7 linked regions of the Canis lupus familiaris genome follow. The protein of the gene in region 1 purifies or fractionates together with the protein of each later gene. This does not show direct contact. Links are inferred from orthologs where the notes say so. Each region holds a gene or a part of one and is shown in the gene's direction. Other genes may lie near its edges.

Region 1 (2,873 bases):
CCTGATCAAGGGAAGGTCTGGTGGGGATGAGGCTGGTATGGGGGCTGAGGAGCGGGACCACTGCAGGACACAAACATCCTGGTCTTTATCCTGAAATCAACTTTTTAAGCAGGAGGTAAGACTGGAACAATTTAAAAGGCATATTCAGGCATTTAATGAACACTGTTTACTGGATGGCTAGGGCAGAGATGGACAGTAGATGGATTCAGGAGAGTGGGATCACATTGGTAAGACCTGCTGATGTTTTGGATGTGAGGAGTAGGGGAAGGGCAGTGTCAGTGATGGATTTCAAATGGCTTGAAAGAGCAGATGGATAATGTTATCCCTGGGGGTGGGGAGCTTTTAGGGAGTAAATAAGGAGGAAACAGATCATGAGTTTATTTTTGGCTTAACATTTGTGCTTCTCATTGCTCCCCACAAGTAAAAATTCATGACAGAAAAAAATCAAAGATTTTTCTGCACAAGTTAAATTCTTTTTCTTTTTTGTTTTCCCATTTTCCAGTGTGTAGCACACATATACAGTAGGTGCTTAATAAGTGTTTTCTGAATTGTTGAATTAAGAAATTGGAAGAGTTGAAACGCAGTTTTAATGTTACGTGTATCTGCTCTCCTTTTCTTAGGATGGCTGGCTGTGGTGAAGTTGATCACTCGATAAACATGCTTCCTACGAACAGGAAAGCGAATGAGTCCTGTTCTAACACTGCGCCTTCGCTCACTGTCCCTGAATGTGCCATTTGCCTGCAGACCTGCGTCCACCCCGTCAGTCTCCCGTGTAAGCATGTGTTCTGCTATCTGTGTGTAAAGGGAGCTTCATGGCTTGGAAAGCGATGTGCCCTGTGTCGACAAGAAATTCCTGAAGATTTCCTTGACAAGCCAACCTTACTGTCCCCAGAAGAACTCAAGGCAGCAAGTCGAGGAAACGGTGAATATGCGTGGTATTACGAAGGAAGAAATGGGTGGTGGCAGTATGACGAGCGCACTAGTAGAGAGTTGGAAGATGCTTTTTCCAAAGGTAAAAAGAGCACTGAAATGTTAATTGCTGGGTTTCTGTATGTTGCTGATCTTGAAAATATGGTTCAATACAGGAGAAATGAGCACGGACGTCGCAGGAAGATTAAGCGGGATATAATAGATATACCAAAGAAGGGAGTAGCTGGACTTAGGCTGGACTGTGACTCCAGCACGGTCAACCTAGCGAGAGAGAGCTCTGCCGACGGAGCGGACAGCGTGCCAGCGCAGAGTGGAGCTTCTGTTCAGCCCCTGGCGTCTTCTGCGAGGCCCCCAGCATCGGTGGATGGTCCCTTAACAAGCCCTGCCACGCCGTCCCCGGATGCGAGCACTTCTCTGGAAGACTCTTTTGCTCATTTGCACCTCGGTGGAGACAGCATAGCTGAAAGGAGTCACAGGGGGGAAGGAGAAGAGGATCACGAGTCGCCGTCCTCGGGCAGGGTCCCCGCACCAGACACCTCCGTGGAGGAGACCGAGTCCGATGCCAGTAGTGAAAGCGAGGAAGTACCTGCGCTTGGTGCACAGCACTCCTTGACCCACCAGAGACTTTTGGTTCCTAGTGTAAACCAGACAGTATCTGATAGATCAGATCGATCGGGGACTGATCGACCAGTCGCAGGGGGTGGAACAGTGAATGCTGGTGTCCGGTCTAGAAGACCTGATGGCCAGTGCACAGTAACTGAAGTTTAAATACGACAGTCTTCAGCTCCAGGCTCAAAGTTAAGGCAGCGCTCTGTAAATTTCTGCCCACGTAACATACTCGTCCCTGGTAGTGCGTTGTTGGGAGCTGGGGGGGGAAGGGGTGTGGGGAGGACAGACCTGTAATTAAAATGTCTAACGTGTCTCTGTTGAGGAATTTATTTAATATAAGGAACTTGGCGTTAATAGTTGAGAGCTGTTTAGTAATAACCCAGTTTTCTTGAGGTCTGTTTATTTTATAGTTTTTAAAAGTTTCTTCAGTTCCTTTGGCCAGCGTGTGTGTATTATCTGTGCATTAACAGTCCTCATCTGACTCTTGCATTGTGTCTTACTTTTCTGCATGGATTGACGTAAAACCATTACTAAAATCTGGCACCTCTGAGGTGTCTGGTATCGGTATGAGCAGGAAGCTTAATGTGAGAATAGATGTGAATTCGGGATTTTAAAATAGATGAATAACAACTATTAAATAGTAAAGTTACCGAAATGGAAGTGTAAAGAAAACAGCTAATAACTCCTGTTTCAGAATCTTGTCTGTAACATACTCCATGGCATTTCCCATAGGCTCTGCTGTCTGGTCCTTGTAGTTTGAGGTTTCTCTTGACCTGCATTTTTCTTTTTGATTACAGAATTTATAATTTAATAAATACTAGAGTTTACCAAAAATAACTTGTCCGTTGTCTGAGTGTGGAAAGAAGATGAAAACATTTTGACATTTGTGGCCAAAGGTCAGTAACCAGGTGGTGATTTGAATCGGTTGTGCTCAGCTTATTCAGCTGCTCAGAAGCTTGGTTTTTTAACCGACTCCACAAGCAATTGCGTGCAATAAATACGTATGGAAGTAAACCTAACGCTCGGGGGACCTAGACGTCTGACGTAACTGGTAACAGGCACCACGCACCCTGTAGACTGTCATTGCCGGCCACCATTAGTGGCTTGACGCTAATGAATCCAACGGTAGGTTTATTTATAAACAGCATTAGTAGACACAAACTTAAAACGTAAAATCTGTGGCAAAATAAGTCTTGGATTAACTTGGTGATCCCGAATTTGGTTCCGAAAAATGGTAATGTTTGTCTTAATATAGTTTAACTCAAAACCGTAGGATTGTGTTGAAGCGTATGCAGGTTATTTTTAATGTTTTTCAAATGTGAATTAAATGTTAC
Region 2 (4,032 bases), about 46 Mb from region 1:
ATGGTCCAGACCCCTTCTCACTTACCCAGACCCAGGAGGGTGCAGAGCAACATGAAGGCCAGCAGGAAGGTCTCCGGTCTCATGGGAGTCCTCATGGTGAGTGAACCTGAAGTCCCAGGTCCCCAGCCCTTATAGGAAGCTGAGGAAGGGCGGATCCTCTGGATCCGCCTTCACCCTGGGGTGAGAAATAGCTGAGGTAAGATCTCAGGGCAGGTCTTTGTGGCTCTACATTGGGGATATGGAACCAGAATCCAAAAGGGACATGGGCATCTCATGCTCAGCACCTGCTCCACAGGGACCCCAGGACTCTTGACTTTCAGCACTTTCTTTCATCAAGACCCAGAAGGTCACTTTCCTGTTTTCTCACATTCCCACCACCTTCCTCTCCCCTTTTTGCTGGCCTGAAGCCCAAGGTCAGAGTTGGGTCACTTGATTCCCTGTAGGTATAGGGTGGCTGGTAGGACTGAGATCCCCTCTCTCTTTTTCCAGTAGTTGCCCAGCATGGGTGGGGCCCTACCTGGGAGTGCCCAGCATGTCCAGACTCGTTCTGCGGGGGACTAGGCACCCTGTGTCTCTTCTGTCTTCATGCACTTGGCTTATATTCCCTGTTCGGTATTTGGGCTGTCCCCAGCTCCGACCCTGCCTGGGGTTGCACCTCTGGGTCTCACGGGGACGGAACAGAGGGATGCTTGTCAACAGGCAGGGGCAGGCATGGTAGGACACATATGCCCACAGGTCACATATTGGGAAACTGAGGCATGGGTGGAAGCATTCTAGTTTGGGTGTGTGTATCTCGTTTGGATGCATGCTTTGTGCCTTCTTTAGATCTTTGATCCACTCTCTCCTGGCCTCAGGCATAAGAGAACGGAGATTTTGTTCGTGTGTGTGTGTGGTGGCGGAGTAGCGGGGAGGAGCGTAACTTCAGAAATCCCGTGTAGAGGACCCCGTAGCGGTACGCTCCAGGGTCCCTGCAAAAAAAAATCACTCAGGTTTGGGTCTTCTAGTGTTCTAAAGGCTTCAATTTGGGCGGTGACTGCGTCGTCCAATGAGAAGGGCGAATTTCTTTTAGGAGCCAATCCCGGAGCCCGCTCCTGTTGCCAGGCGCCGAGAAAGCAGAGAGTGAACGTCACCGGGAGGCGGGGCTAGAGCGCGGTGAGGGCCTAGGAGAGGCGGGGCCTAGGGGAAAGCCCGTTGCTAGGATACCAAGCGCCTCGCTCCGGAGAAGCGCGAACTGGGCTTGCGCGGCGGCGACGGGAGCGCCGGCGCGCCGCGGTTTGAAAGGCCCGAGCCCTGTGCGCTTGCGCACTCCAGCCCGCGCGGGGAGCGCTCCCCCCTCGACGCCCCCCAAGCTCGGACCTTCTTTTATCTCTGGCGCCAGGCGAAGCCCGAGACGTTGACATGCCGGAGATCCGTCTCCGCCATGTGGTGTCCTGCAGTAGCCAGGACTCGGTGAGGAACTGGCGTGGGGGGGAGGCTGGAAGACGTAAGGGAATCCGTGCGGGGGCGCTACAGGAACTTTGGGAGTGTGAAAGGGAACTTCACGGAAGTCCATGGCGGGTCGTGGGGGTTGTGGGGGGTTCCAGGAGGCTATCGGGGAATTCTGGGAGAGATAGGGGAGCTTCTGGACAGGAAAGGAGGAACTGGGGAGCATCCCGGGTGTTCCAGAGGACTCGAGGCAGGGTGTGGTGGGACTAACGGGGAATTTTAAATCTGGGGGAGCGCGGACGGCTCCGGAGGACTCAAAGGAATAACCTGAGAGCCGAGGACCGAGCTCGCTTCCCTGTACCCTTACTTTCCCTTTTCCACTCTTATCTCCAGACCCACTGTGCCGAAAACCTTCTCAAGGCGGACACTTACAGAAAATGGCGAGCAGCCAAGGCAGGCGAGAAGACCATCTCTGTGGTGCTCCAGGTGATCCTGCCCTCCCCCCGTCTGCTTCCTAAGGGGAGTCTGGAGACTCAGGGTCCAGTCACACTGCTCTTGAGCCAGCTGCCAGTGGGTTAGGACACTTTTCCCTTCTGGGCTTCAGCTTTCTTCCCTGGAGAATGGGCCGTGTGATGGCTATGCCCCTTAGCAGAGGACAAGGGTGGCCCAAGGACTAGGCCAGGATGACCTTAGGAATCAATGTATGAAAAAAAAAAAAGGAATCAACGTATGGCCTCTGGGTAGGTTGCTTCTGAAGTCAGTGGGCACAGGGCTGGAAGGGGTCTCTTGGAAGATCATGGAAACCAATCAATCCCATTTTAAAGATGGGAAGACTGAAGCAGAGTGGAGTGCAGGGGTGAAGTGGCCAGTCTCCGTCCGTTCAGGAATGCTTGCCGGGTTCTTCTGAGTGCTCTCACCCAGTCTTATCCCAGCACTGTGAAGGTGGAGGGAGGCTGGGAGGAGAAGGTGGTTTGACCCCATATGGTATGGAATTCGACGGGCTGTTCCTGTCAGGGATAAGAAACGGGTGGGAGGAGAGAGCTAAGCTAAGCGTTTGAAGCATCTGCTCTGTGCTGGGTACTGGCCTGGGTGTTTCATCTTCATGATCTCTCTTCACAAGTGTGGTGTGACAGAGGGGCCCCTGTCACCGTCAGTCAATGGCTTGCAGGACTCAGACCCACATTGGTGCTGTGAACCACTTTGTCACACTGCTTTGTGTTCACACACTGGCTTTCTTGATCTTGGTTCTATTCCTTACTTCTGAACGGAGGGGTGTTTGGGGAGGGATGTTGCAGGGCAAGGCTCACATGATTGTGTCGAACACATTCTCAATCTCTCTCTTGCCCAGTGGTTCTGAAAAAATTTGGAGTCACAGAGCCCTTTTAGAATTGGAAGCTGAGGATTCTCTCCCCAGGAAAAATACACAGACCTATAAAACTTTCTGATTTTAGAAATTTGAACATCTCCTCAGTCCCTAACATAGTAATAATAACGAGAGCTGACATTGATTTAACGTTACAACTGCCAGTTACAGTTTGGAACACCTCATGTGGATCAACTCATTGAATCTATAAAAACCCATGACCTAAGTCTAATAGTACCTCCATTTTAGAGATGAGGAAACGGAGTCCCAGAGAGGTTATGCCACTTGTCCAAGAGCCAGTGTTTTAAACTGAGGGTGGTACAAAAAAAAATACACACACACACACACACACACACACTGAAGGAGGTACAGGTTGTTCATGATTTAGTCTTGGGACCTGAATTCAAGTCCCCATCTCTCTGTCTTACTCATTCTGTGACCTCAGGCACATTTTTTCATTTCTTTAAACCTGTTTTTTCACCTGTCCATTGGGAATAATGAGATCTAAGCCAAGGGTTATTGTGAAAATGTGGTGACATAATGTCTGCAGAAGTGCTCTGTCAACACGTAGATGTTTGTGTAAAGGGAGGGATTCATGTGTTTATTACCAGGTGATGATTCTGCTGGGCTCTCTTAGGGATCAGGTGACCCCAGGAGGATCACATTCCATTCTCTACCCCAGTGGCAGTGAGAGCAGAGAGACCCGAGGCAGGAGAGACATGACACGGGGTTGAGGGAACCAGAGGGGCCAGAGCGAGCACAGGATTCTCTTGGCTGGGGAGACTGAGGGAGATATTGCAGCTGTCACTGAAATGGGAAACCCAGAGAAGGGGCAGCTTGAGAAGCTGACACCTTCAGTTGGGGTGTCCAGGTGTGCTGTGACTTTGGGACCTCTGAGGTCCACGTGGCAGTTAGGAATCAGAACCTGACCTGGATGGAGACAGACAAGTGGAAGTTGTCAGCACAAGGGCAGGACCGACAGAGTCTGGAGTGAATGGATTCTTAGGTTCCTTCATTCACTGAGTAATTATTTAGGAAGCACCTTCTCTAGGCCAGGCGCTGTTTCAGGTCCTGTGGACAGCACAAGACAAAAATACGTCAGTCCTGTGGAGCTTTCATGTTAGGAGGGAAAGACTGACAAACCAGTAAGTAAAGCACCAGATAGATGGTGAGTGCTGTGGAGGAAAATTAAACCATTAAGAGGAAAGGGGAATACTGCGGCTGGGGGAGGAGGCAGTAGCAAG
Region 3 (3,500 bases), on another chromosome or scaffold:
GCACAGAATAGACGGTGAGCTCCTTGACCCTGGTTTTGGTGATTTTTGACTCTGGCACCCAAGAAAAAAAACAGACCAACAGGACCACATCAAACTAGAATGCTTCCACATGTAAGGGAAATTGTCCATAGAATTAAGGGGCATCCTGCAGAGCAGGGGCAACCAGTTGCTTGTTGTGTGCTTGGGGATGCCCTGGGGAGGTGCAGGGTCGAGCACTTTCCTACCGTTTGGGCTGCAGGTGGCTCCTCTTCTGGGGTGCATCTGCCCACAGGCCTAGACCCGTGTGCAGGAGGCGGCACTGTACATGGGCCCCCAGCACTAGGTGACAAGGAGGGGCTCAGGCTCAGTCAGCAGGGCTCTGGCTTTACTTCACAGTTAATGCTTCGGCCGTTCTTCCCCTGGTTTGAACAGAGGAGGTGGAGAAGATGAACAAGAAGATGGAGGAGGTGAGAGAGGCCAGCATCCGAGTGGTATCTGAGGATTTTCTCCGGGACGTGTCTGATTCCACCAGGAGCCTTCAGGATTTGCTCTCCGCCCATGTGCTGGCTCCCTGGGGGGCTGAGGTGAAGGCAGAGCCAGCAGAGCCTGCAGCCCCTAAAGCCAAATCAGGAGCTGCGCTCTCCAAGAAGAGCAAGGGCCCGGTCAAGGAGGAAGGTGAGGCCCACAAACTCCTGAGATGGTCTGTGGATGCTGGCAGACTGCTCCCTCGCCCTGCCTTCCACCCCACCCGTATTTCCTAGTTCTGTTTTACTTGAGCAGTTACAGTTCTTGTCCCCTTCCAAGGCGTCAACAAATCTGAGAAGAGAATGAAATTAACTCTGAAAGGTGGTGCTGCTGTTGATCCAGATTCAGGTGAGCTCACAGGAGCGGGAGTGGATGGGTGGTCAAGAGACTAGGGTGCCCAGGCTGCACCTGTGCCCTCCTACCTCTTGGGCGTCATCTGACTGGCAGTATGGTGTCTGGGGGTGTGAAAGCCCCCCGCCCCTTACCGCCTGCAGACCTCCTTCTCCCAGAGTGCATTGGCCCCTCATGGGAGTTAAAACAGGGCACCCTGCCTCTTCCACAGGTCTGGAACACTCTGCACATGTTCTGGAGAAAGGTGGTAAAGTGTTCAGCGCCACCCTAGGCCTGGTAGACATCGTGAAGGGAACCAACTCCTACTACAAGCTGCAGCTCCTGGAGGATGACAAAGAAAGCAGGTGTGTTCTGGGGACAGGACGGAATGCCTGCGAGGTGGCCCCGTGAAGGGGGTAGGCCCGAGAGGGGTGTGGGGAGGCCTGGTTCCCTAGAGTCTGGCCCCCCAGCTTCACAGGGTGTGTTTTGTCCCACCATCTCCCAGGACTCTTAACAGCCCTTTGAATCCAGAGTGTCTGACCCCTGTACACACGTTTGGAGGTACAGTTTGGTGGGACCAGAACTTGTGGGTTAACCTGGACTGTTTCTTGTTAGCAAGTAGAAATTTTCCCCACTGGAAGTCCAGGAGTTAGTTGAAAGGCAGAAGCTGTGTAGCGGTGGCCCTGTGGGAGCCAACTCAGCCCTTTTAAGAAACCGTGGCCAGCGGCTATCTATAAGCAGTGGGTGGCTTGGTTCTTCCCACTGCCTCTACTTCTCACCAAAAGTTTCACCTGGAAAGTGGCTCAGAAGTGACCCTGAGGGTCCAAACTATCTAGTAGGCTACTTAGATTTTCTGAAGAAATAAGCCTTCCAGCATGTGGATTATCATCTGCTCTGGTGGCCCACTTTAACTGGTTTTCACTGAAGGGGCAGCATGGGCTTTCAGATCTGGACATTTCTTCAGGACAGTTGGGGAAAGCACCTCCCAGACCTTTCCAGGGAAAAACACAAGCAGGGATTGCGTTTCTGAATCTCTGTGCAAGAACCCAGAAAACCTCCAGGAAGCCCTAGATCTTCTTTAAATTCTTTGGTTTTCTTAAAAGTGCATGGGATCCCTGGGTGGCGCAGCGGTTTGGCGCCTGCCTTTGGCCCAGGGCGTGATCCTGGAGACCCGGGATCGAATCCCACGTTGGGCTCCCGGTGCATGGAGCCTGCTTCTCCCTCTGCCTGTGTCTCTGCCTCTCTCTCTCTCTAACTATCATAAATAAATAAAAATTAAAAAAAAAAAATTAAAAAAAAATGCATACAAATAAATCTTGTGTCTGAGGTTCTGATACCATCTTATTGTGACTTAAAACTCAGCTTATACATTATTTCCATTATTTTAAGAAAGACGAACTCCCCCCCCCCCCCCCCAAAAAAAAAACTAAGCAGCACAGCTTGTCGGGTACCTGTGGTGTGTACCCCAGGTTGACATGGGAACAGAGAATGGTGGCCTTACACTGTGGGCTCAGCCTCCATGCTGCTGACACACGTGCACACGAGCCCCCGTGCACACACAGACACACACACCCAGTGCTTGTCACATCTCAGCCTCTGAGCTGAGCCCCAGAGCCTTCAGAATCTTTCAAGCATGTCCCTAACGGTTGCATCTCTTGAGCACAGGACTGCCAAATGATGCTTACTGTATTTCTTTGAGGAGTGAAATCAGGTGTTTATATAAAGTTATAGTTTATTATAAGCCCCGGGGTTCACTCCACAAGCTTGCCTGCCAGATGGCAGTGTAACCTGTTCTTGGGCATGTCCTAGGGCCCATTCACCGATGATGAAATTTGAAGGGGCTTTCTTTAAAGTTCTACTCCTCAGTTCCATCAAAAGCAAAAGTCCTTTGTTACAGTGTTTTTTTCTGTTCTCTGTATCAGTCAGCATCTTGGGGGTTGAAGCTCTTTCTCCTCCAAGTGGAGTGGCAGGGAAGAGAAACCTCCCGAGATGTGAGTGGCCAGCCCACAGTTTGTATCTGATCCTTACCCTCCCTCCACGCCCTGTCACAGGTACTGGATCTTTCGGTCCTGGGGCCGTGTGGGCACCGTGATTGGCAGCAACAAACTGGAGCAGGTGCCGTCCAAGGAGGAAGCCATCGAGCACTTTATGAAATTGTATGAAGAGAAAACTGGGAATGCCTGGCACGCCAAGAACTTCACGAAGCATCCCAAAAAATTCTACCCTCTGGAGATTGACTATGGCCAGGTAATCACTTAGCTTCTTCCATCATCTGCTTTTGGCAAAAGCAATGGGTGCCAGAGTTTCTGTAATATGCCTTGGGTCAGACAGCCTCTCTGGTAAATGGTTCCAAATGCTCAAATAAGTACTAACACTGATCCTTCTGAAACTCTTCCCACAAATAAGAGTCGGGGGGGTGGGGGGACACTTCCCAGCTTGTGACGTGAGGCCAATGCTACCAAACGTGAGGCTTGTGACACCAAAGCCAGAGATACGGTAGGACAACTCCAGTGTCCGTAGGGTCATAGACACAGTCCTTAATGGGGCGCAGCACAGGATTTAATACCTGAGAATGCAAGGTCAGCCCAACACGCAGAAACCGGTGCACTGCAGCAAGAATATAGTAAACAAATCACATGGGCATCCTCACAGATAGAAAGCGCATG
Region 4 (4,110 bases), on another chromosome or scaffold:
TATTTGGAGGTAGAACCTTTAAAGAATTAGGGGCGCCCGAGGGGCTCAGCGGTTGAGCATCTGCCTTGGGCTCAGGGCGTGACCCGGGGGGTGCCGGGATCGAGTCCCACGTTGGGCTCCCTGCGTGGAGCCTGCTTCTCCCTCTGCCTGTGTCTCTGCCCCTCTCTCTCTCTCTCTGTGTCTCTGTGTCTCTCTGCCTCTGTCTCTCTGTGTCTCTGTCTGTCTCTGTGTCTCTCTGTCTCTGTCTCTCTGCCTCTTTCGGTGTCTCTGCCTCTGTTTCTTTTTCTGTCTCCCTGTTTCTCCCTGTCTCTGTCTCTGTCTCCCTGTCTCTCTCCCTGTCTCTCTCCGTGTCTCTCTGTGTCTCTATCTCCCTATCTCTGTCTCTGTGTGTGTCTGTCTGTCTCTCTGGCTCTGCCTGTCTCTCTCTCTCTCTGCCTCTCACTGTCTCTCTGCCTGTTTCTTTCTCTGTCTCCCTGTCTCTCTCTCTGTCTCTCCCTGTGTGTGTGTCTCTCTGTCTCTCAGGAATAAATAAGGGCTAAGGGCACCCGGGAGGTCAAGCGTGTGGCTTCGGCCCAGGCCAGGCGCGGCCCCACCCGGCGAGGAACCCCCTTACACACGCGCACACACATGCACGCACACCCCGCTCCTGCGCGCTCTCCTCGCTCCTCCAGGAGATAGTACTTCTAAAGTAGAAATAGAAGAAAGGAAGACTCAGACTCAGCGCGTCTAGGACGCCCCCATGCCAGGGCGGGGTCGGGGGGGCAAAAGCGGGCGGGGGAGAGTAGTCTGAATTGGGTTCCGGAGCCCCGCGGCCCGACGCCGGCCTGCTCGGGTGCCCCGGCCCAGCCATTGAACTCACCGTGCCGGCCGTGAGTCTATTCCAAGCCCCGGGGAGGGGGCATCCGCCGCGCGCGCGGCCTCTCCTGCCCGAAGGCCCTCTCCGGGGCCCGCTCTCTGGGAACTCACCCCCCCGCGCGCGGGGAGGGCCCTGCTAGGGCCGCTGCTGGCCCGAGTCTCAGACCTTCCCAGGGGCCGAGAGAGTGACGCGCACTCCGCGCGTGGCCCCACCGCTGAGCTTCCCGCCGCCCTGCGCAGCGCAGCCCTCTCGCCGCTTATAAAGTGCCGCCCGCACGGCCCTTCTCGCTCACGGCGACTTCCCATAACACACAGCAGCATGCAAATACCGCGGGGAGCCCCGCCCCGCCCCGGCCCCCGCACCGCCTCGGGACGCATGCGCCGGCGCTCCGTTCCCGCCTTGGGCCGGCGGCGGGCGGGCGGGCGAGCGGGCGGGAGCGGCTCCGGCGGGGACGAGCGGGCGCCATGGCGGCGCGGCGGCGGGGGACGCGCGGCGGCGGCGGGGCGAGAGGTGCAGGCGCGGGGGCGGGAGCGCGGGGCGGGGCGGGGCGGGGCGGACGCCAGGTGGGCGGGGGCGCCAGGTGCGGGGCGGGCGCCAGGTGGGCGGGGGGGGGCGCTCTCTGCTGCGCTTCCCCGCGCCCGCGTCCCGCCTCCGAGCTCAGCGGGTCGCGGCGTGGCTGCGGGCAGGGCCTCCGGTCGCTGGCACCCTCCTTCCCCAGCTGCCGTCACCGACTCCAAGAAGCCAGTCGGGGGGTGCGCGAATGTGGCATCGGGAGAGGCCGGACAACTCCTGCCCGCGCGTCACCCGCTGTACGATGCACACTACGTGTCACCCACCGTACCGTGCACGTGTCACCCGCTGTATGGTGCACGACGCGTGTCACCCACCGTACCGTGCACGTGTCACCCGCTGTACGATGCACACTACGTGTCACCCACCGTACCGTGCACGTGTCACCCGCTATACAGCGCACACTGCGTGTCACCCACCGTATTGTGCACGTGTCACCTACTGTACCGTGCATACGCGTGTCACCCGCTGTACCGTGCACGTGTCACCTGCTGTATGGTGCACTCTACATGTCACCCACCGTACCGTGCACGTGTTACCGGCTGTATGGTGTACGCCGCATGTCACCCACTGTACAGTGTACGTGTCACCCACTGTACCGTGCACACCGCGTGTCACCCGCTGTACAGTGCACACTGCGTGTCACCCACCGTACCACACACAGTGCGTCCCACTCTCAGATGTTGCCATCAACATTCAGGCCTCAGGGTTGGTGGGTACCATCCTCTCTCTCTTACGCACCTAAGTGCAGAGGTCCATCCTACAAATTCCGTATCATCGCTGTCAGCCTCTGGATTTTACAGTCAGGGCAACTGAGGTTCAAAGAGGTGACGTGACTTCCGCAAGTTCCCGCCGCTGGAAGGGAAGGGACGGGGCTCCTAACAGGAGACCGCAGAGCACTGTGTGGTTTGCCTCTGGGTACTGGGAAGGCTCGGGGCACAAGTATAAGAGCAGCGGGGACACTCCTGCCTCCCCTGCGAGCTCGAGCTCCCAAGAGCCCCGGGGCTCCATTTTACTTTGTTTAGGTTTTTGGCTGCAATTGCAATTTAGGAAGGGATTTCCCCAGACTACCACCAGGACCAGCGGCTTGGCAGTTCTCATTTCTTTATAAATTTACGAAGCCGTCCTGGACCATTTCTTTAAAAAGATGATGTTTTCTTCAAAGTAGGACCGTGTTCGGGGGTACTCATTCCTCCCTTTGGTTCTTTGCTCACTTTTCGTGCCCGTGGCTTCTGCAGCATTCGACAAAGCTGGAAGAGTTCATAATGGCAACACGGCTGGAGAAGACCCTCCTCCTGCAAAGAAAACTCGGAGATGCCAGAGGCAGGGGGTGAAAAGGGGGCCTTTGACTGCAGGAGGGGCCGGTAATGGCAGCACGGAAGACAAGCCAGGTCAGCTCCGGGCGGTGGGCCCGCGGGAGTGCCTCCGGGAGAGGTGGGGCGAGGGACGCCTTGTCCTCTCCACTCACGTCTTCCTTTCCTGAAGATGTCACTAGTTTCCTATCCTGTGGGCGAACCACAGTGCGCCTCTCCTGTCTCCGAATCTTCGGTTTTGTGTCGTTTAGACAGATTGACACCTGGACAGATGGGGATTGCTCGGGGAGGACAGAGTTCATTAGGACACTGATTCCCACACACATAGCTCCCATATGTGTCTGTCTTCCCCCAGAGTCTGTGAAGACCCTGCTGTTAAAAGGCAGAGCTCCCGTGGACCCCGAGTGCGCAGCCAAGGTGGGGAAGGTGAGACTCCTCGCCCCTCGGTTTCTCAGCGCGTGTTCCCGGGCTGCTGGGACTCCTGCCCCCAAGCTGCTGGCATTCAGTTCGGAGCCCTCGCCGAGATACTCCTGGCGATGACTTGTCTCCAAGGCTAAGAGAGGGGAGCAGGGGAGTCTGGGGCTAATAATCCACATGTCTTTGACTTCTGGGGTTGTCATCAGCTTTCCACGCTTCGTTCTCGTTCTCGGAAAATAATCCCGTTCTCAGGGAAGATCCATCTTTGTTCTAATGAGAAACTGCCCTGCTCTGGCACGGGTCACTGACGACTGTGGAAAGGCTTTGAAGAATACACAAGAAAGGCTTCTTTTGGAGCAGGTTTCCTTTAGCCATTAGAATCCTTGGTTTTTCTATAATTACAAAAAAGCAACATGTGTTCATCATAGGATAATCATAGCTAATGTGTAGAAGACCTAGTGTGGCAGTTCCTTCCCCGGAAGGTGGATATTGGTAGTGCTGGGGAATGACATGTTGAGACACAAGAAAATCTAGAGCGTCATGGAGGATTTCATGAAGCCTGAGGTTACGCTACCATCAGTTTTTTCCTTCTCTCCCCAGGCCCACGTGTACTGTGAAGGGAGCGATGTCTATGATGTCATGCTAAACCAGGTAACGGGGGATGCCTGGGTGGCTCAGCGGTTTGGCGCCTGCCTTTGGCCCAGGGCACGATCCTGGAGTCCCGGGATCGAGTCCCACGTCGGGCTCCCGGCATGGAGCCTGCTTCTCCCTCTGCCTGTGTCTCTGTCTCTCTCTCTCTATCTGAATAAATAAATAAAATCTTAAGAATATATATTTTTAAAAAAATAAACCAGGTAACGGGAGGAGCTGTTCTACGTATGGGGATTTTTTTCTTGGTAGTTACTGATGACAGGGTCCCGATGCCCAGATCTTTGATTCTGAGGTCCCTATGTC
Region 5 (3,500 bases), on another chromosome or scaffold:
TTCTTTTTAAAGTTTTTATTTATTTAAGTAATCTCTACATGCAATGTGGGGCTTACATTCCGTGACCTTGAGATCAAGAACTGCATGTCCTCCAACTAAGCCAGCCTGCGATCCCTATATGTGGTATTCTTACAATAAAGTAAACTGGAGAAAATACTAAAATCATAAGAGGAAATCCATTTATTTTACTGTGCTGTATTTATTGAAAAAAAATTTCATATAAGTGGACCTCTGTAGTTCAAACCCATGTTTAAGGGTTAATTATTTTATAATACTTGTTTTGGATTCCTACTGTTTGTCAAGATGACATACCATAAGCTATGCTCCCTTTTTTACCCAGTCCCACTTAACACATAAGAATATTACATCTGCTTGGAGTTCAGTGTGTACAGATTTATTTCAAATGAATGAATCTAATAAAAAAGTCTAATGTTAGCTATTAAGGATATAGAATTTACCATACTTTTAAAAAATTGTAGGGAAGTTTATATTTGTTTCTTGGATAAACTTATATCTTATTTTTTCTTATATAGCCACATGCTAAATGTCCTTTATGCAGAAATGATATACATGGAGACAATTTATTAGAATGTCCTCCGGAAGAACTGGCATGTGACACTGAGAAAAAGTCTAATACAGAATGGACATCCAGTTCGAAGGTAATACACATGGACGATATTTGGAGTATTTATTTTATATAAGGATACCACATCTTAAAATAATTCTGCTTATAATCCTATCATTTGAATATAATACTCGGTTGGTGTTAACATTTTTATTGATAGTGGTGGATTTAAGAGGCAAGGAACTTCAGTTTGAGTGTATTCTTTCCGTCTTAATTTCTAAAAACATTAGTTGTCTTCTACTTTGCATTTTAGGGAAATAATGGGGCAGGACCATTCTTTTCTAATAAAAAAAAGTTATATGTATTTTGCCCATTCAAAATGGAATCTAATGGGTGTCCTGATGTTTTTTTTCAGATTAATGCTCTAATGCATGCACTGATTGACTTAAGAAAGAAGAACCCCAACATAAAAAGTTTAGTTGTTTCTCAGTTTACAACATTCCTGTCTTTAATAGAAACACCGCTCAGGTAAATTCAGTATTGATTCTCAATGTGAGTAAAAAGATTTTATGTAAGTGTTTTGATTTGGAGAGCAAAAAATAATGTTCTACCAGTTCTATTCATTTCATCTGTCTAAAATGGTAGTCACAATAAAGAATATTTCCTGGGAGCCTAGAATTTTAAAGATTAAGTCCTGTATTAGAAAAAAAACTGACTTCAGAACGTGACATGGTAGTAGATGGTTAGCAAATATTTGAATAAATATTCAATAATGAGTTGAATAAATGAGTGGAAGGATTAGTTTGAATGAAGAAATTTGTAATTACTTAACATTTTAAAAATTGTATGTAAAGTGTTACTTGTCTCTTTTGTCCCTCCATTAGAGCCTCTGGATTTGTGTTTACTCGTTTGGATGGTTCCATGGCTCAGAAGAAAAGAGTTGAATCAATTCAGTGTTTTCAAAACACTGAAGCAGGATCTCCAACTATAATGCTTCTGTCCTTAAAAGCAGGTGGAGTTGGTTTGAATCTTTCTGCAGCTTCTCGAGTGTTTTTAATGGATCCAGTAAGTAGTTCTGTAGACTTTTCAGTATGTTATTAAGCTTTTTTTTTTTTTTAATAAATTTGGTAATACCTTCATTGTTGTAACTGAAAATTCTTAGACAAACTTTAGAAATAGATAATAACAAATGTTTATTGAGGACTTTCTTTTAAGCACTTGACATATATCAACTGAAATTCTCACAGTATCTCTATAATATTCCTGTGAGAGATCCCTGTGAGGTCTTATTGTCCTTATTTTACAGGTGAGGAAACTGAAGCAGAGAGAAGTAAAATAACTTGCCCAATATCATACAGTAAAATGCAAACCAGGATCAGGGTCTATGTTCTTAATTTCTGTGCTGTGATTTTCTACCTCTGTATATAGAATTAGTTTCTATTAACTGTAATGCTTTGGTGTAGTGGTTTCATTCATTTGGCTAACAAATAATACAATCCTGCGTTGTGTCAGGGAGTCTTAGAGACACCAGGAATCTGGCTATAAATAAGGTAGACAAAGTAGCTACCATCATGATGCTAATGATCTAAAGTTTTAATGTGCAAAGAATTAGGTAAAATGTAATTTCTGACCTCTGTCCTCAGAGATTAAGGAGTTCTTGGATGAGGCCCAGGAAGCAGCATTTTTTTTTTTTTTTTAAGATTTTATTCATTCATTCATGAGAGAGAGAGAGAGAGAGAGAGGCAGAGACACAGGCAGAGGGAGAAGCAGGCTCCATGCAGGGAGCCTGACTGGGACTCGATCCCAGGTCCCCAGGATCATGCCCTGGGCTGAAGGCGGCGCTAAGCCGCTGAGCCACCTGGGCTGTCCAGAAGCAGCATTTTTATATAGGTAATAGGTGATTCAGATACAGGTGGTCCAGCATCACAGTTTTAGAAACTAGTACCATTAATGGAATATTTTGGATAAATTTTAGCATCTAATACAGTATTGTCACTTGTGGTTGTACACTATAGGCCTAGCTGTAGAACTTTACTCACCAAACTGTGACCTAAGAGAAGCACCACAGAGGAGCAGTACCTTTTTCTTTCTTTTTTTTTTTTTTTTAAAGATTTTATTTATTTATTCATAGAGACACAGAGAGAGAGAGAGAGAGAGGCAGAGACACAGGCAGAGGGAGAAGCAGGCTCCATGCAACAAGCCTGATGTGGGACTCGATCCCGGGTCTCCAGTATCACCCCTGGGCTGCAGGCGGCGCTAAACTGCTGCGCCACCAGGGCTGCCCCTTTTTTCTTTTTTTAATAAAGATTTATTTATTTATTTGTTCATGATAGAGAGAGAGAGGCAGCGACACAGGCAGAGGGGAGAAGCAGGCTCCATGCCGGGAGCCCGACACGGGACTCGATCCCGGGACTCCAGGATTGCGCCCTGGGCCAAAGGCAGGTGCCAAACCGCTGAGCCACCCAGGGATCCCTGCAGTACCTTTTTCTAATAGCACAGATTGCTGTAGGCACTCTGGACTACTAATTCAGTGAATGAAGTTTTAAATCTTTGCTAGAGTTTTAATATTTTATTGTTAGATTTAAAAAAAATCATTGTAGCCATGTATTTGTTATATTAACTAACCTGAGGGTAATCTTAGACGATGATTTTTGGACAGATACGCAAGTTATTTGCTTCTTGATAAGGAAGAAAGTGAAAGAAAAAGACCAGCAAAAGGGGAGAAAACCTTTTTCTGCAAATTATATAATTTGCAAATTACAGATCTTTTCTGATATAAATCATTTAAGAGGATGTATAACCCCCCCCCCCCCCCCCCCCCCCCCGTTAAGCAGACAGATCAATTTTAAAATGGAAAGAAAAGATACTATGTGATTACAGAACAAGCACTCATGCTGTGTGCTTTCTGTATATCAGGCACTGGATTAGATACTGG
Region 6 (3,500 bases), on another chromosome or scaffold:
AGAAGGAAGAAGAGACAAGAAGCAGCAGCTAAGAGAAAGAGACTAATGGAGGAGAAAAAGAGGAAAAAGGAAAAGGTGGAACACGAGAAAAAGTATGTATTATTCAATGATATTATAAAAAAGCTGGTGAGGGTCATGTTTTAAGGATACACTTAATCTGCAGTTGAACACTTTAAAATTGCAGTAAATTTTTATAAAACTGGTAGCTCCTTCTGATAATAGAATATTTTTTTTTAAAGATTGAACTTTAACCCTAACAATGTACTTTTGCAAAATGTCCTGAGTGCCTAAGGTAGAAAGACTTATTCAGTTGAAGTGAGAAGATGTTAAGATTTTATTGTAGCTGTCTGACAAAGAGTAGTTCACTTGAAAGTACCTTAATCTTGTTCTTAAAAACAGGGACATCCAAAAAAAAAAAGGGACATTTGGTGGCTGCTCTTTATTGAAGTATAGTCAGGAGGCAACTAGGCTAGTCAGTAAGACTTCTTGTTGATTTACAAATGAGCAGAATACTGCAATCAGGGTGACTATCTAATTGCATTTCCACTGGGCACTTGGTGTTTGTGAATAGCAGGATGGAGTATGCTCTGAGGGAAATTGTGATAGGCCAGGTTAATTTCCTTTTCTCTCTGGCCTGTTGAAGGATGGTGTGGTGGGAATCCAACAATTACCAGTCCTTCTGCCTGCCTTCCGAGGAGAGCGAACCAGAGGATCTAGAGGACCAGGAAGATGAGAGTTCTGCCCAGCTGGATTATGAAGATCCAGATTCAACTGCCATCAAGTATGTTAGAGGTGATGTCACCCACCCACAGGCTGGGGCAGAGGATGCTGTCATCGTGCACTGCGTAGGTAGGAGAAGTTGTACCGGCCCAGGATGGGTGCCTTGTTCTTTATGGTGCTAAGAACTGGGGAGGAGGAGGCAGAAGCCTGACCAAGGGGTGGTTATGGGGCCTGACCAAGGGGTGATTATGGGTCCAGTGCAGTCCTGCGGTCAAAAGGGGGCACGTTTTAGAATCCAGCAACATAGATTTGACTCTTGGTGCTCTCCTTTAACTGGTTGCATAGCCTAATCTCCTGGGCCTCAGGTTTCTTTATTGGTACAGTTGGATAATTTCCTGTTCTCTGCACAAGGTGTTTAAGAAGGGGGAAGAGACATCTTTTGAGAAAAAGTAAAACTCCAAGCATGTTCCCCCCACTTCTGTGATCTTTGCACTTTTTACTTCCTCTGCCTGGATCCTCTTTCCACAGAGAGCCACAATAAGTATTGTTTAAATGTCTGCATCTCCGATCTCCCCTAAGTGCCTCACATAAAACAGACCCCACCCCCATGCTTCTATTATTCTCTACCCTTTTTCCTACCTTATTTTACTTTATTACATGTATCACCACATACATATTATGTATGTGTTTGTTTCTATTATTGTCTCATTGCACTGGAAAATAAACTTGATGGGAGCAGGATTTTTTTTTAATCCACTGTTGTAACACTAGTTCCTAGAACAGTGTCTGACACATAATACATGCTAACAAATATTTGTAGGATGATTGAATGACTGTAAATAGAAGGTACTAACCAGCTATGTTAGTAGCAGCTCAAATAAGTCATTTAACATTTTTTCTTCCTTACCTGTAAAATGGGAGTTGTATGCTATTGTATTACCAATGCTTTAGTTGTTGTTATGTTACAACTGCTTTCCATCTTTCCTATTATGATAGCCAGGTGTATTCCATAAAACCTAAACATATTTGAGAAGTCTAACCCGTGGTATTCCTGGGAGGCCACATAGGTGTTTCTTCCCTTTGAAAAACCATTCTCCTACAAATCTAGTTGGCATACTTTTTGTGTTTTTGAATTGTGAACTGGAATTTGGATGTTTTTTGTTGTTGTTTTCTATCAGATGATTCTGGTCGCTGGGGCAGAGGTGGTTTATTCACAGCTTTGGAAACACGGTCTGCTGAGCCAAGAAGAATATATGAGCTAGCTGGGAAAATGAAAGGTAAGAATCAAAGCAGAGAAAAGGGGTAGGAATGGAATAAACGAAGAGAGAACACAGGATAGGTATCACATGGGTTATGAAACATTAAAGAGTTAAGAGAGCTAGTTTGGAGTCTCATTAGCTAGTTTTATCATCATTAAACTAGTTTTGTGACTTTGAGGCAGTCTCTTACTCTCCCTGTACCTGTTTCCTCATTTGTAATTTGTGAATAGTACTTGTTCTACCTACGTCATGGGACTATAATGAGGAGAGTGGATATACAGGTGTTTTGATAATGTCAATCCCTGTGTGCGTGTTCAAGTATTGGCATGAAGAGCATTTCATTGTTTACCTCCACTATGACCAACTCACCCCATCTACATAAGGGAATATTTCCAAAAAATGTCAGACCTGTAGGAGAGAAATCAGACCCACCATGAAAGTGCTAACAAGAGCTCAGGTTGAATGTTGAAGAGGAAGAGGTTGTCTTATGAGGTTAGTATACGCTGAGATACAGCACTTCTTAGAGACAGAAGTAAAGATGTTTGGGGCCAGAGGAACTTGGAAGTCTCCTTTGGCATGGAGAAGGAGAAAGGGTACCTTTTATGTGGAAAAATCACAAAGTAGCAAAAGGAGTAAAATTACTATTGTCATTATTTCCTGGGGACTTGAGAGGCCAAGGGAGTTTGTTCAATAGAGAAGAGCCCTTCAGATTCCTCAGATTGGTTTTCCCTAATTCTTCTGCCTAGTTCTCTAGGGTAGAAAGGGATATAAGGACCTAGAAGGAATACTCTTTCTACTAAAATAGCTCACTGACAGAAGATTTAATAGGTTAAAATAACTGAGATCTAGATATTGATTGGGCAGTGGGAAAGCAGAGAATTCAGGACAGATCAGAGCTAGACATCAAGACCGAGGAATGCTTGTTTGGATCCTTGTCTGAAACTGTGAAGGAAGCAGGATGGGAAAATGAGAGGCCAGAGAACAAAGCATGGAAAAAACCTCCACTTAAGAGAAGCAACAAGAAGAGGAGACAGAAGGAATTGTCAACTAAGAGAACCTTGAGAATGAAAGAGGAGAGGATGTCAGGAAGGTCTGCATTGTCAGGCACCAAGTGAGGGTGAGAACTGAGAAAAGGCCTTTGGATTTGCATGACCTTGGAGAGGAGACTGTGAAGATTAAACCTACATTGCAGAGTTAAGGTGTAAGTGTCAATGACAAAACAGGGTTGAGAGGGTACGTTCTTTTTCTGAAGAAGAACTGAATTAGGGTAGATGAAAATGTGGGCTAGAATTACCAGGGAGTGCTTTGTGGAGATAGTGAAAGTAATCTTGGGCCTGGAAAGATAGGTTGAATTTAAGTGGGTGGAGAGAAATGGAAAAAGACCCCTGACTATGTCTCATACTTTTTGATATTCCCGCAACTCCTGTCATTCCCAGTACAGGGTATTGAATGACCCAGGCAGTTACATGGTGAATGTGTTTAGGGAATGGTGTGTAGGCCAGGCAGGCCAGAGGAGGGGGT
Region 7 (3,500 bases), on another chromosome or scaffold:
CTTTGTCCAGATGTTCTAACCTTCCCTGTGAGATCTGGGAGGGTATGAATGTCGGAGGAGTTTGGGTCAGGCACAATGGAGATGCAAAAGGGTATATCTCAATGGGTGTATAAAGGTGAAGGAGAAGACTGTGGTCTGGTAGAAATGTCTGAACTTGAGGCCCAGCTCTGCCGCCAGCAAGCTGTAGAATCTGGAATGAATTACCTAGCCTTTCTTGGTTTTTCATTTCCTTGCGTGAATTATGTATGAAACCATCTGAAGCATCTAGTTAGAATCCTTTTTCAGTCATCTTTCCTAAAGATAGGTGGATACATTAACTCCTAAAGTTCTGTGACCTACCCCAGAGTAGCTCTGACAGTTATAGTGGCAGAGCCAGGCTTCCTGTGACACAGTGACTTGACCTCTTTCTTCTGGAAACAAGCCTAAGGAATGAAGACCAGGTCTGACTTGGTATAACATGGGAGCCCTGGGTGGCTCAGTGGTTGAGCATCTGCTCAAGATCATCTTGAGCCTCTGCTCATTTCATGAGAAGTAGGATTTCCTATCTACATTGGTTTTTCTGGGCAGTGGGACCCTCCCCAAATGCCATGCCTAGTGAGAGCCTTGGGGTTGCTCCATTGGGGTGCAGTGCCTTTCATGAGCCTGTCTTGTGACATGTAGTCTACAATATAGACTACAGCCTTTGGTTAGGGTTCTGTGTTTGGGATGGGGAAGTGTTTTCTCTCTCCCGGAATGTGGCACGGCCAGCACCAAAGTAGTGAGCTCTGCATCCCAGGGACAGGACTCAGATCACAGTAGTGATCTTTCTGACTTTCATACGAATTCTTCTTGGAGTCTGTTGTACAACCTGCCATTTATTCAAAGAGTGTATAGGTTAGATAGTTTCGTGATAAACTACACAGGCTTTGGAGTTGGGCCTAGCATCATTCCTGCCCCTCACTTGCTGTATAACTTGAAGTGAGGACTTCTAATGCTCTTCAAACTGGTTTTCTCATCCATAAAATGAAAACTGTGTCTATCACATAAGATGATCTGACACATACAGACACCCCCAGGATGGTAGTGGTTAGGTTGAGTCTGGATGGCACTGGTATGTGCAGAGGCACTCTTGTGGCCTGTCCTGGGGCTCTCTGACCACTGCTACCATGCCAGCCTCTCTGTCGCCTACCTCTCTTTATCTTCCCCTCTACATATCTCCTGTGCTGAGGTCACTGCTGTTTTGGGGGATTTTTTTTTAAGATTTTATTTATTTATTCATGAGAGACAGAGGCAGAGACACAGGCAGAGGGAGAAGCTGGCTCCTCTTAGGGAGCCCGATGTGGGATTCGATCCCAGGACCCTGAGCCAAAGGCAGACACTCAACCACTGAGCCACCCAGGCATCCCTACTGCTGTGTTTAATAGGAAGCCAAGGCCCTGCAAGATCCTGAATTACTGAGAAAAAAAAAATGAAATACTGTTTCAGTGGAATTTTATTTATTTGTAGTCCCCAAAAGCCCAGCTCCTGTTTTAGCTGCAGTGATGCTTATAGTCCAAATAAGCACTGCCTAGCCTTGTACATTTCCCCCAGCTCTTGAGCAGTCTGCCTGGAGGGTATCCTGTGGTCAGCAGGCCTTGGGACCTGGACTCTGGGGCTGTCATGCCCAAGCAGCCCCCAGTGAAGAACACCTATAAGTCTCCAGGCTTTTCTTTCCCCTTCCCCCTCCCAAGGCCGAGGCCTGCAAGTCCATCGAGCATGCGATGAAGAAGTGTCCTAACGGCATGTTTTCCGAGATCAAGTACGATGGGGAACGAGTCCAGGTGCATAAGAACGGGGATCACTTCAGCTACTTCAGCCGCAGCCTTAAGCCTGTGCTGCCTCACAAGGTACAGGTCCCTTCCTCTGCTGGGACCATCTCCCTCCCTTCCCCTAAGAACCTCGAGGCTGTGGTTCTGTAGTCCTTTCAGCTCTGGTATGCAGTAGAGTTTCTTTTGTATTTGTTGAATGAATGTATGTATTTTTGGAGTCTTGCAATGAAGGGCTGCTCAGTGGGGACACCCGAAGATCCCACACTTGGGTTAGCACAGAGCCCCAGGGGACGGTGACATTCCCCTTGCCCACATTGATGCTGGGACCATGAGCTCACCTGGCAAGTGACTTGCAGTGCTTGTCTTCTGCGTTTCCATGTCCTGTGTGCTCCACGAGTGAAATTACAGGTTAGGGACAAAGAAGCTATTGGGCTGTCCTTCATGAATTTGATAAGCCTTTACTGAGTGCTTAGTCTGCGCTAGGTGCTATTCTTGATAGTGGATGTACAGCAGTAAAAAAAAATGGACAAAAGTACTTGCCCTCCTCCCCCGCCAGAAGCTTACATTGTGATGTAAACACAATCCAGTGGGGACATCTGAGAGCACAGACTCCTGTCCTTTATTAAGGGGCTTTAAGAACCTTGCCCCTGAGTCCTCAGCAGCCAGGGTTTCTGTGAGCTTTGGGGCACTCCTCAGGGAAAAGCTGCTGGGATATCTGGCCCCAGTAGCCTTTGAGTAGAGGGGACTCTCTGTGCTTGCTATGCCTTCTCTCCCAGGACAGACTCCATTTTTCAGAGCCCTGGGGGTGGAGGAGATGTGTTGGGTGGCTCGCGTGCTTCCCTCACCCCTGCCTCCCTGCTGGAGCACCGGGCATTGGGCCATTCATTTCAGATATGCAGAGGAGGGCTAAGCATTGGCCTCCCCAGGGAGATTAGTGCAGACTCACCGGCTTGGTGGGGCCCAGTAACCTTGTCCAGGAACTCTCCTGGGTTGCTGCTCAGTGGGCACCTCTGCTACCTGGAAGAGGTTTGGGCCCAGCTTTCAGAGTTCTAGACCTTTCCTGACTCTCTCTTACCAGTTGTCCCTTGTCTCTCCTGTGCTTGGGGGACAGTTATACAGGCCTCCTCTCTCCCCACTCCAAGCCCCATAGGTAGCAAGTGTGCTCTCCGGACCTCACTGCTGGTATCATGTGGCAGGGGCCACCCTCCGTCACAGTGGGACTACTCCCTGTCTGGAACTCTCAGAGACTAGGGATCTGCCTGTATCAGGAAAAACTCTGATTGCAAACGTCCTTTCGTACTGTTCTGAAGATGGCTGCGGGTCCCAAGCTCCCACCCTGGAGAAGACCCTTCTGTTTCCTTGTTGCTCCTAAGAGGGTTCATTGCCTCCTTTCCATCCATCTTGTCATAACTCACCTGTTCTCCCCACAGGTGCCTGCTGCTTGAACTGCTGCCTCCCTTCCACAGGTGTCTGCCCCTACCTCCTCCTCCACATACCCAACTCCCTGTTTCTTCCTTTTTCCTCCAAACTTTCCATCATGGCCCAGAGTGGCTCAGCCCAGGCCGACCTCTTCCTGGGTCTCGAACACTCTCTCGAACTGTCGTCTCAGTGGTGGGTAAGGCCTAGGTCTGTTCTGGACCTGAGTTTGGCTTCCACGTGTTGGTGTTCTGTGTTCCTTCTGGGGCCTGGCTCTTGCGTTCTGGCCTGGCTTTA

What was found.
Region 2: the proteins of RNF146 (region 1) and XRCC1 purify together in Homo sapiens (co-immunoprecipitation; 3 studies listed by BioGRID and IntAct, with this or other methods). This does not show direct contact. The link is inferred for Canis lupus familiaris from reciprocal best matches to the Homo sapiens genes RNF146 and XRCC1.
Region 3: the proteins of RNF146 (region 1) and PARP1 purify together in Homo sapiens (affinity purification with mass spectrometry; 4 studies listed by BioGRID and IntAct, counting the BioPlex papers as one, with this or other methods). This does not show direct contact. The link is inferred for Canis lupus familiaris from reciprocal best matches to the Homo sapiens genes RNF146 and PARP1.
Region 4: the proteins of RNF146 (region 1) and PARP2 purify together in Homo sapiens (affinity purification with mass spectrometry; 4 studies listed by BioGRID and IntAct, counting the BioPlex papers as one, with this or other methods). This does not show direct contact. The link is inferred for Canis lupus familiaris from reciprocal best matches to the Homo sapiens genes RNF146 and PARP2.
Region 5: the proteins of RNF146 (region 1) and HLTF purify together in Homo sapiens (affinity purification with mass spectrometry; 4 studies listed by BioGRID and IntAct, with this or other methods). This does not show direct contact. The link is inferred for Canis lupus familiaris from reciprocal best matches to the Homo sapiens genes RNF146 and HLTF.
Region 6: the proteins of RNF146 (region 1) and CHD1L purify together in Homo sapiens (co-immunoprecipitation; 3 studies listed by BioGRID and IntAct, counting the BioPlex papers as one, with this or other methods). This does not show direct contact. The link is inferred for Canis lupus familiaris from reciprocal best matches to the Homo sapiens genes RNF146 and CHD1L.
Region 7: the proteins of RNF146 (region 1) and LIG3 purify together in Homo sapiens (co-immunoprecipitation; 3 studies listed by BioGRID and IntAct, counting the BioPlex papers as one, with this or other methods). This does not show direct contact. The link is inferred for Canis lupus familiaris from reciprocal best matches to the Homo sapiens genes RNF146 and LIG3.

What each region holds. Positions count from the first base shown.
Region 1 is NC_049222.1:66,568,566-66,571,438, forward strand, and holds the end of RNF146 (E3 ubiquitin-protein ligase RNF146), read left to right. Parts: intron 1-620; coding exon 621-1,698; 3' UTR 1,699-2,373; downstream 2,374-2,873. UniProt on the Homo sapiens protein: E3 ubiquitin-protein ligase that specifically binds poly-ADP-ribosylated (PARsylated) proteins and mediates their ubiquitination and subsequent degradation. May regulate many important biological processes, such as cell survival and DNA damage response.
Region 2 is NC_049222.1:112,263,822-112,267,853, forward strand, and holds the start of XRCC1 (DNA repair protein XRCC1), read left to right. Parts: upstream 1-1,232; 5' UTR 1,233-1,398; coding exon 1,399-1,449; intron 1,450-1,818; coding exon 1,819-1,911; intron 1,912-4,032. Other genes in the region: PINLYP (phospholipase A2 inhibitor and Ly6/PLAUR domain-containing protein), read right to left, coding at 26-95. UniProt on the Homo sapiens protein: Scaffold protein involved in DNA single-strand break repair by mediating the assembly of DNA break repair protein complexes. Negatively regulates ADP-ribosyltransferase activity of PARP1 during base-excision repair in order to prevent excessive PARP1 activity.
Region 3 is NC_049228.1:38,477,305-38,480,804, forward strand, and holds part of PARP1 (poly [ADP-ribose] polymerase 1), read left to right. Parts: intron 1-411; coding exon 412-654; intron 655-783; coding exon 784-852; intron 853-1,066; coding exon 1,067-1,199; intron 1,200-2,885; coding exon 2,886-3,081; intron 3,082-3,500. UniProt on the Homo sapiens protein: Poly-ADP-ribosyltransferase that mediates poly-ADP-ribosylation of proteins and plays a key role in DNA repair.
Region 4 is NC_049236.1:17,830,115-17,834,224, forward strand, and holds the start of PARP2 (poly [ADP-ribose] polymerase 2), read left to right. Parts: upstream 1-1,310; 5' UTR 1,311-1,320; coding exon 1,321-1,366; intron 1,367-2,664; coding exon 2,665-2,817; intron 2,818-3,094; coding exon 3,095-3,165; intron 3,166-3,756; coding exon 3,757-3,807; intron 3,808-4,110. UniProt on the Homo sapiens protein: Poly-ADP-ribosyltransferase that mediates poly-ADP-ribosylation of proteins and plays a key role in DNA repair.
Region 5 is NC_049244.1:44,393,713-44,397,212, reverse strand, and holds part of HLTF (helicase-like transcription factor), read left to right. Parts: intron 1-533; coding exon 534-659; intron 660-980; coding exon 981-1,093; intron 1,094-1,449; coding exon 1,450-1,630; intron 1,631-3,500. UniProt on the Homo sapiens protein: Has both helicase and E3 ubiquitin ligase activities. Possesses intrinsic ATP-dependent nucleosome-remodeling activity; This activity may be required for transcriptional activation or repression of specific target promoters.
Region 6 is NC_049238.1:58,465,696-58,469,195, forward strand, and holds part of CHD1L (chromodomain-helicase-DNA-binding protein 1-like), read left to right. Parts: coding exon 1-92; intron 93-643; coding exon 644-849; intron 850-1,898; coding exon 1,899-1,997; intron 1,998-3,500. UniProt on the Homo sapiens protein: ATP-dependent chromatin remodeler that mediates chromatin-remodeling following DNA damage.
Region 7 is NC_049230.1:38,321,392-38,324,891, reverse strand, and holds part of LIG3 (DNA ligase 3), read left to right. Parts: intron 1-1,709; coding exon 1,710-1,865; intron 1,866-3,500. UniProt on the Homo sapiens protein: Isoform 3 functions as a heterodimer with DNA-repair protein XRCC1 in the nucleus and can correct defective DNA strand-break repair and sister chromatid exchange following treatment with ionizing radiation and alkylating agents.